2 linked regions of the Oreochromis niloticus genome follow. The protein of the gene in region 1 interacts with the protein of each later gene in a pairwise test. Links are inferred from orthologs where the notes say so. Each region holds a gene or a part of one and is shown on either strand. Other genes may lie near its edges.

What was found. The genes of interacting proteins can lie anywhere in the genome.
Region 2: the proteins of zdhhc17 (region 1) and spry2 interact in binary tests that used the Homo sapiens proteins (3 or more experiments, as listed by UniProt). The link is inferred for Oreochromis niloticus from reciprocal best matches to the Homo sapiens genes ZDHHC17 and SPRY2.

Annotation. Positions count from the first base shown.
Region 1 is NC_031981.2:35,670,990-35,678,151, forward strand, and holds the start of zdhhc17 (palmitoyltransferase ZDHHC17), read left to right. Parts: upstream 1-4,116; 5' UTR 4,117-4,133; coding exon 4,134-4,196; intron 4,197-7,162. UniProt on the Homo sapiens protein: Palmitoyltransferase that catalyzes the addition of palmitate onto various protein substrates and is involved in a variety of cellular processes.
Region 2 is NC_031986.2:7,826,050-7,833,298, forward strand, and holds the start of spry2 (protein sprouty homolog 2), read right to left. Parts: upstream 3,079-7,249; 5' UTR 2,606-3,078; intron 1,596-2,605; exon of another isoform or gene 1,448-1,595; intron 1,411-1,447; exon of another isoform or gene 1,138-1,410; intron 1,029-1,137; 5' UTR 934-1,028; intron 1-933.

The DNA.
Region 1 (7,162 bases):
TGGCAAATGAGCTGGTTACTCCCGTGACCTTGGATTGCACACCTCAATAAACGTTTGCCATGGAAAGTGTGGGATTGCCCTTCTTTACATGCACACTGGCACAGGACGGAAATATGGAAATATTGCAAATATAAATTTATGAGTGCCAGATGCCAAGTCTGGTCCCAAGATTTAGTTCCCAACATAACTTCACACTTCTCACTGCATATTTTGAGTAGCAAGAAAAATAAGACTACAAAGTCTTTAAATGTGGAATTAGCTTGCAGCTATTAAAAATAAATACTCAAAAGGAGTATGACAGAGAAAACACTTTGTTAAATCGCAGGTGGACAACATGACATGGTAATATCAGATATCAGACACCACGCCAGGACCCACCGGATGTACTGCTTGTCTGACACAGTTAGCAAGAGCTGCTGCTGCCCTATGATTCTCCTGTTTCAGCGCTTGTCTCCTGTCAAGTGAAAGTGGAAATAGAGCTGCAGACATCCAACACAGGCAGCGAGATATGACTGAAAGGCAGCATGGGTGGGGTGGAGTGGGGTGGGGGTTAGAAAAGCAACAACATTATCAGCACTAGACCCGCTGAAGTGGCAAAGCCTGGTGTGGTTTATAATCCACAGCTTCTCCCATACATCACCCGGATACAGCGGGCTGCAGGAAATCCAAATTTAGCCTGCCTCATCACTCAGCGCGTTGCCCTGGGGTGCATTCGCGTTGAATTAACTAGCACCAACAGGCTAAATGTGGAGTTTGACTTGGGACAGATGCCGGGGTCACAAGTACAGAGCATGAAGATGCGGGAGCTGCTACGGTCCTTACCTCTAATCCTGATTTATTACACAATAATACGCACTACCCGTCTGCAGTCACGGCTGTCACTCAGCCTCACACACAATTAGCCATTAGGCTAGCCGCCTGTAATCAACAGCAGGCGGTAGGGTTAGCTTTCATTTCGGTGTTTTTCTTTGCTTGTTTGAGCTTACCTTTGCTCCACCGGAGATCTCCTGTTGTGCTGTGCCACGAAAGGAAAAAGCTGCCTGTAAATATTTAAAAGCAGTCCACCGGGGCGTGTGTCGGTCTGCTAACAGTTAGCTTTAGATGTGTTAATGTTTACGGGTGGTACTCGTCTTTGGGCAGCGTCAACGAGTGATGACTCGCGGTTTCCTCAGCCCGCCGGCTTCACGTAGGTCCAGTTTTAATGTCTGAAATGTTAAAAATCAACTTTGAAAATGATAATACGCTTTCTAATATTTATTTACCAGCATTCCTCGGTCTATTTGTTAGCCACCAGCGTGCCTGCACGATTCTATCAGGACTGTTTTTGTGGCAAATGAAGTAACGTAACCGGAAAATGCACGACTTCCGGACGCGGAATTCAAACTAAAGGGTATTAAAAAAACATTTAAGACGTCCGCGTTGTGTATTTATGTATTATGTATTTCAGTCAAAATTATCCAAATAAGACAGTTTTGGGTGTCCTGTCTGTTTGATTTAATTCATGAAAACTAAATTGCATTACAATTTACAAACATCTGTTTAAAAATACATACTTCAGTGTGCGCTTTGTTTCAATTTTTTAATTTTCACATCAATAAAAGTTTATGTCTTGTCTTTATCGTATTTGTCCTGTTTTTCTTTCTAAAGCGCCCTCTAGACTACGTCCTATAATGTTTTATATGTGAATAAAATGGAATCATCTTTTTATAAAATAGTAATAGTTTATTTTATCAAGAGCTGGTCATTTTACAGTTGCCCTGAGTCTCTTTGGGACTTTATTTTGAAGAGCCAACAGCTAATATCCCGTGTACGGGTTGTTACTGGATAACTTGACCCGTCAGCTCGAAATTTCCCTCCTGCTCGGGTAACGTCTGATTTTCCCTTGCAAACGTGTCAAACGTGTAATCGCTTTGGTGCACTTTCAAACAGCTGACAGTTACACGTGCATCTGGTAACACTACTTATTGGAATTCGTATATATAACCCGTCAGGTTTTTCTTATATAGTAATGCTTTTTTTGCTGAGATTAAATTTGCTAAGGAGACGTGTACATGAATTAATTGTGATCGATTACATCACTTTACCTCTGCCGGGTTTTCGTGAGTCACAACTACCATGAGCACCCCTGTCTGTTTTTGGTCGATCTTATTTTTAATGTAGCTGATCATTTTTCTGCCTCCAGTAATAACTACAATGATTACTGCAGCTGCTGAAATTGAGGAACTGCAAGTATCCATGCCTGGGTGTGCGGTGACATCTAGTGGTGGTTGGAGTTTTGGGTTCGGTAAAGATGCACATGATGTGACAACATCTACAGGGGTAAAGCGGTATAACGGTAGTGTCATCGATGGTTTCACATAAAAATTCAACCATCAGTCAGTTCTGTCATCATGGATTTTTCCCCTAAACCAAATAGTACTGGACCATTTACAACCCGGAAAAACTGTAGTTTTATCTCGATTTATTAGGAATCATGTATTCCTAATAAATCAACTTTTGCTGCCATGATACCAGGTCTCTCTCGGAAATTAGATTTTTAATCTCAGTGACATTTTTACTAGGTTAAGTAAAGGATTAATTAAAAAATTAAATTAATAAATAACTGTCTCTCTCTCTTTATACTACTGTTATGTTATAAAAATGCTGAAAACTACAATGCTCATGAGATACTGTAAGTATACCAGCTGGGTGGATATACATACTTAACTCATACGGTTGCTCAGATTTTAGATCTGATTCAAAACTAATAAGATGTTACATTTTTGGTAATATTGTAATGGCAAAAACCAAACTACTCAAACTGCAAATCAAGTAAGGGGAACTAGAAAGAGTTTTCTATTTAATTAGCTGAGTCTGCAAAATCAGATATTGAAGGAAAACCCCAAGGAGTTCCTTGTATTTGAACTCACCTTTCAGGAGGATGGCTTATTTACACCAGTGTCTCATTACAGATGCCAAAAATAAAGACTGTATATCCTAAAACCTGTTTTCAAATTTGAAAAGATCACTTTCACTTCAATATACACTGCTCAAAAAAATGAAAGTAACACTTTGAAAACACATCAGAGCACTGGGCGCCAGCGTTGGACTGCCAGTATTCTATAGCAAACATCAGTCTGACTGCCTGGTGAGCATGCAGCCCACTAAAGGTCACTGGGCCTCAGGCCACCCTCATGAAGTCTGTTTCTGATGGTTTGTTCAGAGACATTCACACCAGTGACTTGCTGGAGGTCATTTTGTAGAGGTCACTCTGGGAGTGCTCATCATGTTCCTCCATGCACTGTTCCACTGCTGATCAAAAGGAAGAGCAGCCAGATGTACTGTACAATATAAAGCACCTTGAAACGACTGTTGTTGTGATTTGGCGCTATATAAATAAAACTGAATTGAATTGAAATTGAATAGATGTCCCACATGCTAAGGAAACGTCTCCGTCATTTGCAAGCATTACAGCAACCTGGGGATCAAAAACACCTATGCCAGGTGAATGGTACAGTTGAAAACAGTTAACAGTAAGTTCAAATGTTACTGTTATGTAAAAAGAAACCACATAAAAGTAAAAAGACTGCAGTGTCAACACTGTTTAACATCCTTTTCCCCCCTGATGGGTCACCAGGCCAGTACATTAGACATTTTACTGGCTGTTTGTATACTTTTAGTGGCCCACAAACAATCCAATTTAATAAATTTTTATCCTGCTATACAAATATATATATTACATTGTAAATCTATCTCAGAAAAAATAGTAACTAAAACATTAAAATAAATGTGGCAGGGTCAGTAACGTGCTACTCTGCTGCAGGTACTGCTGCTGGTTTTTCCAGCAACCCTGAAAAAGATGAGAGGATGGATGGATGAAAAACAAACCATCATCTTTAGTATATTATACTTCCTACCCCCAGAACGGGGTACTAACACACAAAAAAAACCCGAATAATTTTATAGGAAACATAATAAATCATAGTAAATATATTTTTGCTATACAACTGTAGACATCGTTTCTATTATGTGCTGTGACCTGTACATCACCAATGTTTCTGACAGACCCTCTCTTCTCTTCCTCCTCCTCCTCGACCGTTCCCCCCTGCACTGCCTCCTGTTTCCCACAATGCTCAGCGAGCATCACCACCAAGATGGCCGACGCTATGGAGGAATATGAGAAAGAAGCTGGCTGCGTCCCTATTCTCCATCCTGAGGTATGGTCACTTGGGTTCACGCCTTCGGACGAACACATGAAAGCAAAGTAAAGGCGTCACCTCGCTCTGCGTGCCGGTGGCTTTGTGTTTTCCCCTTTCTTTCTTTTTTTGGAAAACCCGATGCCCCCTGCAAAACCACCGGTGGGGGGGTGGCAGCCAGCTAACGATGCTAAAGGTGCTAGCGCTAGCCCCCCTCTCACTGCTGTATAGCCTTTTAACGCTGGGCAGATGTTCGTGTCATTGGTAACATTAAGCCAGGTTGTGTTTTCCCTGGAAGTGACCTACAGCGAGTAAACAAGCCTGTAGTCCCCGTTTAAGTTCACGTGGGAAGAAGGTTAATCTTGTACGACGTTAGCTTTGTAGCTAAACTGACAGGAATCACGCTAGCTGCTGTGATGTATATGTAGTATAGGTGGGTATGAAGCTATTGTGTACTGTCGGTCGTTATAATAATAATGATAATAATAATAATAATAATAATGATAATAAAGTGCTAACAGCTAAAAATGGAGATTTAAAAACTGCACTCTGTGCATACAACCAGTTAGCTAACACAGCAGTAACAGTTGTCAGTAATGGTGTTTGTGTTTGTGTAGGAGCGGACCACCCGGGTCACAGTGCTTTCTGTCACCTAATATCATTAGACATGGTACGTTATTACTAGGCTGGTTATAACTCCCTATAATACTGTAAATACTGTACATAAGTACAGATGTGAGGTCTTCCAGTGTTTCCTTTCTATTGATATTCCACAACAATTCAGAGGGAAATGGCACGTTTCACTTCACTACATTTATCTGACAGCTTTTCTAATGGACGAGTTTTCTTTACACAAAACATATGAAGACTTTGGTGTTGTTTTGTTAACTAGAGATGTCCTGATATGTGAGGCAAACATTGGTGTTGTCCTATCGGTCAGTGTTTATCAGCTGTGTCACATAAGTTGTGCATTGATTAGTTATTAGGAACTATTGTATCCAGAGCCAAAACAATTATTTGACTAGTCAAACAGCTGGTTCCAAACATTTGCTGGTTCCAGCTGTCATGTTCAAAAGTTGTAGTTGAATGTCAGTTTTTGAACTGAACAGTCAGCTAATGCAAAAAGCAATTAAAAACACCCTTAAAATTAATAAAAAAGATATATAGTCTGCATTGAGTAATTGTATGTTTTTTGTAAACTGTTTTTTGGTTTATGCTTACATTTACAAGCACAGAACTATTAAATTTGTCCTTTTACTTAAAGAATCTGAATACTTTATCCGCTTCTGTATTTTTGTAATATATTAAGATAAACTAATTATATTTTTAGTTAATAGTAGAGGTTAATTTGTGACATATTTGTCCGAAAATAACTGAAGAAGTATTAAAGTGTTAACTAATTAGCTAGCCTGAATGCAACATATTTGTAGAAAGTTTGTCCATTTACCTAGATCTGTTAGTTGCAAACCTATTCAAGGCCAAGGTGACCAGCTTTACCATTATTTAGCATTGCTGTAGAAAGTCACATTTAAGAAGTGCTATATAACAATTTAAAATTTCATACCTCAGGGTAGTGGTATATTTTGTTAGGTTAGCTATTGAACACGGCCTGTTATCAGTTGCCATCTGTGCTTGGCAGGTAATCTAATCATCAGGGAGAGTTTTGTTTGAATGTAATGCAGTCTGGTAATGCTTCAGTGACGGATGGCTTGCTTTTCACTCTCAACAGTTCAGGCTAGTTTACCCTCAACCATGCTCAGTAACTGTTAAAGCTGGCGGTGAAAAGAATTCATATCTTAAATGTCTCCAAGATGCTGGCAGGATGAGTTGATGTACTTGGGCTGGTGATCCAAATAGTAAAATTCAAGCTCTGAATTTACGAATCTTCTTCACATATTGGGCCAGTAAGAACTCAAATAGTAATACTGCATGAACAGGCAAGTTGCCACTTTTGAATGGTTTTGCATGAAGGAAGTCTGTGTTCTTTTGTCTTTTGACTGATCCTAGGTTCTTTACAATATTAAAGAAACTATTTTGCCGTACACCCAGCAGTGAAATATAATACCACTTTAAGTAGTAAGAGCAGGAATGATGGCAGACTTGCAGTTTAATAAAACCATGTGGTTAATAAACTGCTTTTGGAGCTTGAAGAGTTCAACAATGGTCTGGTTCATCTTTATCATTGGAACTACATCCAAAATACTCCCAAACAGGGGCAGAGACAGTTTTCTGGTTTACTAGTCCCATCACATTGTCCCCAGTAACTGTGGTTTCTCAGCTGTGCTGCCTGTTTCAATAGTAGAGATTGACCTACAAGGGCCCTATCATACAGTGGTATGCAAAAGTTTGGACACCCCTGATAATTTCCATGGTTTTTCTGCATAAATCATTGGTTGTTTGGATCAGCAATTTCAGTTAAATATATCATATAGCAGACAAACACAATGATATTTGAGAAGTGAAATGAAGTTTATAGGATTTACAGAAAGTGTGCAATAGTTACTTAAACAAAATTAGGCAGGTGCATAAATTTGGGCACCTTTGTCGTTTTATTGATTTGAATGCCTTTAGCACTAATTATTGGAACACAAAATTTGTTTGGTAAACTCATTGACCCTTGACCTACATACACAGGTGAATCCAATCATGATAAAGGGTATTTAAGGTGACCAATTGCAAGTTTTTCTCCTCTTTGCAATCTTCTCTGAAGAGTGGCAACGTGGGAGCCTCAAAACAACTCTCAAATGACCTGAAAACAAAGATTGTTCAACATCATGGTTTAGAGGAAGGATACAAAAAGCTACCTCAGAGATTTCAGCTGTCATTTTCCACTGTGAGGAACATAGTGAGGAAATGGAAGACCACAGGCACAGTTCTAGTTAAGGTCTGAAGTGGCAGGCCAAGAAAAATCTTGGATAAGCAGAGGTGATGGATGGTGAGAACAGTCATAGTCAACCCACAGACCAGCTCCAAAGACCTACAACATC
Region 2 (7,249 bases), on another chromosome or scaffold:
CACAATTTGTTATTTTGCGAGACACTCATCTAAAATGAGTCTTTACAACAAGTCGTCAAACAACGCCCAGACTCCAATGGGGACTGAGACACACGAGGTGAAATTAATACCAGCTATGCAATGCTGGTAATGAATTGATGCTGTGAGGTCATGCTGCTGAACATGAAGAATCCTGCCCCTGGTACAAGTCCTACCACAGACCCTTGCTGCAGCGCTCATGCTTCCTGTCATCGATCTGGCGTGTAACAAGGCTTAAAATGGCTGAAACTTCAGTTTCTCAAATTATGACTCTTTTGGTTGGCCATTTTAGTTTGCGTACTATATGCATGGGGAAAATTCACTATATTGAGGTATCTGTTTAACACCCCCCCCAAAACAATAAAAACAATAAAGCTTGCAGACAAATTCAACTACAGCTTTGTTAACTTCGTTAAACTCAATGTATGAATGCAGGCGGCAAGAAAATTAAACACTCGTTTAGAAAATTACACAATTATTGATGAGATTATAAAATTGTACATTTTATAATATCTCGGTTATCATTAATACACTGCTTTTGTGACACCCCTAATCTGGTTTGGAACCTTATTCAGATATAAGCTTTATGATTAGTAACGAACCGACTGTTCCAGGTAAATCGTGATCTTAAAAAATATATTTATATTAAAAACATACATTCCCCCCCTCCTCTTCTGATGAACATGAAGAAAAATTTCAGGCTATCTTTCATCACAGCAGCTTTGTCGCTTATGTCAGTCAAAAGGCTGATAAAATTAGGCCTATTATAAGTGCATCACTAATCTGTCAGATTGAGCTTCGGGGCATGGCGATGTGCAATTTCTACCTTTAACCTTTATTTTAGAAAGCAAAATGTTAAAATAACCAGATTATAGCAGCATCAATACATCAATTAATGCTATGACGGTTGTTTACCTTATACTCAGAAAAGCCAATCGGTTGCTTGGTTGTCAACTGTCAGATCTGAAATAGTCGTTCTATCAGAAGATGTTAGAAGACATCGCCACTGGCTGAGGAAAAGTAAGATAGGTTTCACTTTTTTAACCTTCCAATAACCAACACGATCAGCCAACAGTCAGAATATTGTCTGACACAGCAAAAACGTCAAAGGTAAATTACGTGTCAAATGCCATGTTTCACTTTTTCTACGCCCGTCTCTCACAGGGTCAACATTTCCATCGTTAGAGGTTGCATACGCTGATGATCAAAGTTCATTTCTTTTTTAAACACTGAAGACTGATGTGGGTCAAACTGATAACTGAAACGAGGAGTTGAAGCGCATATAAGAGGAGAAGGAACCAACTTCATTTCTGTTAAACCAAAAAAGGAAAAAACAAAAACAAAGTAAAGAGCCCCAAGTGTCTAATAAGAGTTTAAAATGAAGCAAAACGATACAAGAGTTCCGACTTCCCAGCTACTGGATACTCACCCCAGATCAGCCATAGTTTCCCTTTGAGTGTGAGTATTAACAAAAGTGCTCTGTACACTGGCTCATTTTCACCACCGCCTCACACTAAAGTGAGAGGGTGGTGAAAACAAACGAAAAAAAAAAAGGTCTTGATTCTTGTGCTCGTGCTAATTACCTTTTAAATGCAATCTTTTTCAAGAGGTGGAGGGACCAAGGCCACCCCTCCTTTCAGTTACAATACAGGAACGGCTTTTGTTTGTTCCTGTGGCAAGTGGCAAATGGCCTGCAGCAAACTTCCCCATTCGAGCACATTTTTACATTGTTAGACAGCTGAAAAGATGATGAGTGACAAGATTTGAAGAAGAAGAAGTTTGGAGCAAAGAAAGAGGCCATATTAAGTGGGAGTGCACTCAGAGGGTTTGTGTGTGGTGGGACATCTTTGGGAACTTCTTGGGTTCTTTTGGTTTTATAAGCCTGGTTAAAACAGACGCCTCCACACAGGAGTCTGTGACAGTGGGAGAGAAGCTGGAGCTCTGTGACAGGATCGAGCTTCCTAAACCTAAACAGAGCATCAGCCAAAAATAAAAAAAAAAATTGAATGCTGAGTAAAACCAGAAAGCCCGATGACTCGCGCGGGTTCTGATACGCAACCGATAAGCGCGTTTCCACTGTGTGCATGAGATTTATAATGCAAACATGCAAGCGTGCGGCACGGAAAACACGTTTAAAAGAAAGAAACGCTAAGCGGACAGCTCGCAGCAGCGGACGGAAACAGTGCAGGCTGTGTGAGTGCACGTATGAGCAAACACGTGCCAACTTGGACACTGCTACTTCCTAATAACCAGACACCAGCGGTCAGGTGAACAATTAAGCTAAATGAGTCATTAGTCAGAGCGAAGGCGGTGGCTAATTTTAGAAGTTAAAAGGGAAAAAGGGACCTTATAAACTTAAGAGGGGGAGGATGACTAAGATAATGAGCTCAAAACTAAGCCAGCAGCTATGTTAAAACCATAACAGTGCACGTATGACCCAAGTGCAACCTAAAGGACGGGAGAGACAAAAACACTGCTAAGAAAAGTGTGAGGGGGAACAAAGTTTGTTAGTCCACAGCTTCAACAAAGAGCATGCGTACTGTTAAAAAAGAGAAAAAAGGATAAGAACTACACAGGTCACACTTACCGTGCTCGCGACGAGACCCCCGTTTAGGTGAAACAAATCCAAGTTGAGGGGGCGAGTATTCCCTGCGGCAACACTTCAGTCGGGAAAACCGTCGGTAAAATCCATTGAGAAAGCTTCCAGCCGGAGCGCTCCTTCGGGAGAAGCGGCGCTAAGATGTAAATCCCATGTTTTTGCGCAACAGCACGAGGCGTTAAAGCACGCGAAAACTTCAAACAGCCGCCGCACGATAAAGTTTATTAGCAAACTTAAAAAGGGAAAGAAGAAGAAGACGAGAACTAGAGAAGAGAAGCAGGCGACAAACCTCACATTTACAGGTAGTTTTCACTCCGTGTGTTTTATCCGCGACGCTCAGAACGTCTTGCAAGTACTTTTTTTTTTCTCGCGTGTGAGTGTGATTTTTTTTTTCTCTCTCTCTTTCCGGAGAGGTCGGGATTTGCGCTGTATGTGGCGTCAACCTGAAAGGGGGGGGGACAGAGCGCTTGTTGTGACAGCGGATATATCGCATCCGGTGCTCAGCCATTGAATGCCAGAAAGTAGCCATTCACACCGAGTCTGATCAAGCCGATCAACCTCTTTGGAAATATGTGTGCTTGGGCCCGTAAAGTCTTCAGTTTCTTACAGCTGACACATTTTTTTTATTATTATTTTTTAAATAAAAGAAGCACGTTACAGAGCAGTCCCCTGAAAATAATGTGTCATATGCTTACCATGTGAGGGGGTTTATAGGTTGCAAATAAACAAAATGTCGGTACATTTGATTCGTTTTTAGCTAACTTTACAGGGTACATGGGCAGCACAGTATTAGTATTTTCTACTTAATGCAGTTTGTGTACTTTGTGAAAGTGAAAAAATGTAACGGTTACATTACATTATGAGAGAAGGTGGGTAATTGAGCACATCTTGTGAAGTACAGTATAACTGCTAGGTAGTGGTTTTGTACATTTGTGTAACATTATGTTGCTGAATATTGAATTAACCTATATTAGGATTTATCACCCTTTTTCAAGTGCAAATTATGGCCTCAGAGTTAAAATTTGTCAGTATTGATTTTGTCCAATAAGATAAAGTTATCCCTCTTCAGTTATTATTTTTGCTTGAAAATGAGATTGTCAAGCATACCAACACTAAAACCTGCTGTAAATGTTGCAATAAGACAGAGTTTGTAGTTGTAAGCATCTTGCCGCCCTGCTTTTACTCGTGTGATTGAGCCGTTAACTTGCTCAGGGTTAGGAGCTTGGGTTGTCGAGCTAAGTGTGTCCAGTGTTCGACGGTTTTTCAGTTGAGGCAGTTAAATGTAAGTCTGCTTCACTGACATGGTCTCAGGGTGGCGGTGTGCAAAAATGACCTCTCTTGTGTGTAGTATTCCCACAATATTTAGATTTTATTTTAGAAAATCTTGATATTTGGTGTTCCTGTACAACATTGCCATGTAAAATATCATGATACTATGCTGTATCGATTTCCCCCCCCTACCCTTCCTGCTGAGGTAGCCTTTTTATACTGCTGTCTTTTTTGTGCTACTTCTCAGTGTTTATGTAACAGCTAAATTCTTTTTATACATGATTACATTTTCAAAATTTGACTATAATATAACAATAAAAACATATAATATATAGAGTACATTTACTCAAGTACAGCACAAGTTCACTTCAATTCCACTTCCTTTCTCAGGGAGACTGTGTACTCTTTAATTCCACTGTAAAAAGCTAACAACTACGGTTAGATGCAAAACTGTTATACAGCCTGCAAATTGTGACTGTTTATAAAGGATGGTGTGGCTTTATTTATCAAAGTGCTTGCTAGTAATTGACAGGGATGCTTTTGTAATTTTACTTTGAAACACAACATCACTTCTTTTCCCCTTTTTCACACTCCCAAGTCCTTAATGGAAAACTACTGTCTCCCTCTAAAATCAAGGTAAGCTGAAGACAAACTGTGAGATGCAGTGCCAGATGGAGTAGTTTCACATACTCATATTGACTTTCCTTTGACATACAGGGCACTGAGTTAATCTTACTGAACACCTCAGGATACTTTTCTTATTTCACACCTTTTTAAGCTCTACTACCAGGCTGCTATGGATTTAAATCCAAAAGCAATCAATGAGAATTGATACAACTAATTAGCAAGTCAATACTGTAGTTACCCCAGAGCTGTTGTGAATAATTATGAAGTGGCGCCACTGTGTGGCCATCTCCATATACTACAGGCTACAATCAATAGCATGTGGATTTTCTAATATAATAATAGATTTAAACTAGCTTCAAAATCAGTCACATTCCTTTCCATGACTATGATAAACACATGGGCACCAATAAAGAAAAGCAGAATGGCATAAAGATGAAAATGGGATGCAGATCAGTGAGTCTGGATTTAGATTCAAGGATGAAAGACTGAATGGGTTTTATTTAGTAGTTGAGTCATACACTTATATCATCTTACAAAAAGGCCCGGACAGGCTGTTACCCGCCTTGTGTCCCTGCAAAATAATAAAAAGAGCAATTAGCTTGTGTTCAGTGAGCCTGAACTCAAGCAGAAGAGATTCAGTGAAAACAATGGACTTGGACATCTCCATTCCCCCGTTTTCCTCTAATTTAGTAATAGAGTGTCTGATCAATTTCAGACAGAATAATTATGAAGTTGTGAGAAGCACACTGCTGAGAGAGGTCACTTTAATCAGCTCAGTGTATGACTTGGCAAATTAACTTGGATCAGGGTCAGCAGGCTCTCAAGACTTCCCACTTTCTTTCTACAATTTGTCTTCCTTTGTTCCTCCCTGGCTGCTCTTCATTTACCCTTAAAGCTTTGTTGTTCTTGATAACATGTTACATGTTTCCAGCAGCACACACAGAATGAGCCAAGGCACAATCAAAGACTTGCAAAATAATTCTGTTTATTTAGGTGCTACATATGTAATGTCCCCCTTTTTGGTAATAAGCACTTTACTTTGCTTACATTTGATAATTTAGACACATTCTGTTGTTGTTTTTTAACTATCAAACATCACATTTTAAGCTCTGTTAAGCTCTGAAACAACCAGATCTGTTTTTTCCACTATGTCTGGTCAGACTTGATTTTTGTCCTTTTGACTATAACCTAATCCTATTAGAGAATTGTGTGATTATTATTGTTATTATTATTAATTTCATCATTATTTTGTTGTAATTAGTGTGTGAATTCTTGTGTTACGGCCGAAAGTGTGTTTGTTAGGTCATAGTGGCCTTTGAAACAGTCTACTCAGCTAATTCTTGATGTTTGTGGCAGATTGTTATTATGAGTTGTGCAGTTGTGTCAGTTTTGGTAGGCATTTGCTTACGGAGAAGGGTTATCAACCTACGCAAACATGCTCCCATGCAGTTCTTCCTAAAGCTCAACAGCACTTAGTTTGTCTGTATAATGGCCTGAAAAAGTATTTGCTCATCTTTGATTTCTTTTTTTTTCTTTCTTTCTTTCTTTTTTTTTTTCTTTTACATATTTCTCACCTTTAAATGTTTCACCTCATCAAACAACTTTTAATATTGGACAAAGTTAACCTGAGTAAATATAAAAATGCCGTTTTCAAATGATGGGGAAAAGTCTCTGCCAACCTGCGTGGCCCTATGTGAAACTGTGAAACTGGTTTTGCCACCCTTGACAGCAAGAACTGCAATTAAGCATTTTTGATAACTGGTAAATGGTAAATGCACTGGTTCTTTCATAAAGCTTTTCTGCTCTACCTGAGCACTCAAAGCACTTTATAAAACGTACCTCATTCGCCCATTTCTTTAGCTCATGTCACCCATTCACACAAGCATTTTTTTCTATGCTTTTCTAAGTACGTTCTGTCTAACATTCACACACATTCATACTCTGATGGAAGCAATGGAGAGCAACAGTCAACAGATTTTTTTCCCTAAAATCACTTTTGTTTCGTTTCGATCAAGAGTGGTTTTCGCCTTTGAACTTTCCTATAGAGGCTGTTTTTGCCCAGTCTCTTTCTTATTGTTGAGTCATGAACACTGACCTCAACTGAGCCAAGTGAGGCCTGCAGTTTGTTACATGTTGTTCTAGGTTCTTTTGTGATGTCTTGGTTGAGTTGTTGATGCACTCTTGGGATTTATTTGATAGGCTGGCCACTTCTGTGAAGGTTTACCATTGTTTCAAGTTTGATCCACTTGTGGATAACGGCTCTCAACATGGTTTGTTGGAGTAGCAAAGCCTTAGAAATGTCTTTGTAACTCTTTCCTGACTGATAGATGTCAGTGACTTTGTTTCTTGTCTGTTTCTTGAGTTGTGTTGCTGGTGATCTGGTGGAAGTTAAGAGGTTAAGCTATTCAAGTTTTGGCCAAACCTGCATTGAGAACTACAGATTTCAAGGTCAGGAAATGCATACCAAAACTACTCCAAAAAACAAAAGCACAATTTCTGCCATCTTTTGTTTATTGTTTTGTTTTCAATATGAGCTAAATTATTTAATGAATGGGTAACGCACATAATACACAGTCTTAATTAAGAGCAAAGTTACCATCTTCCATCCGTTATGGCCTATCTCCTGCCTTTATTTGGGACTATAGGCCACATGAAGATGTTAGTCTAATCATGGAAACTGTAATAGACCTACAACTCTCCTTGAAAAGTCTGAAGATTTGCTGGGCTTGTTGAATT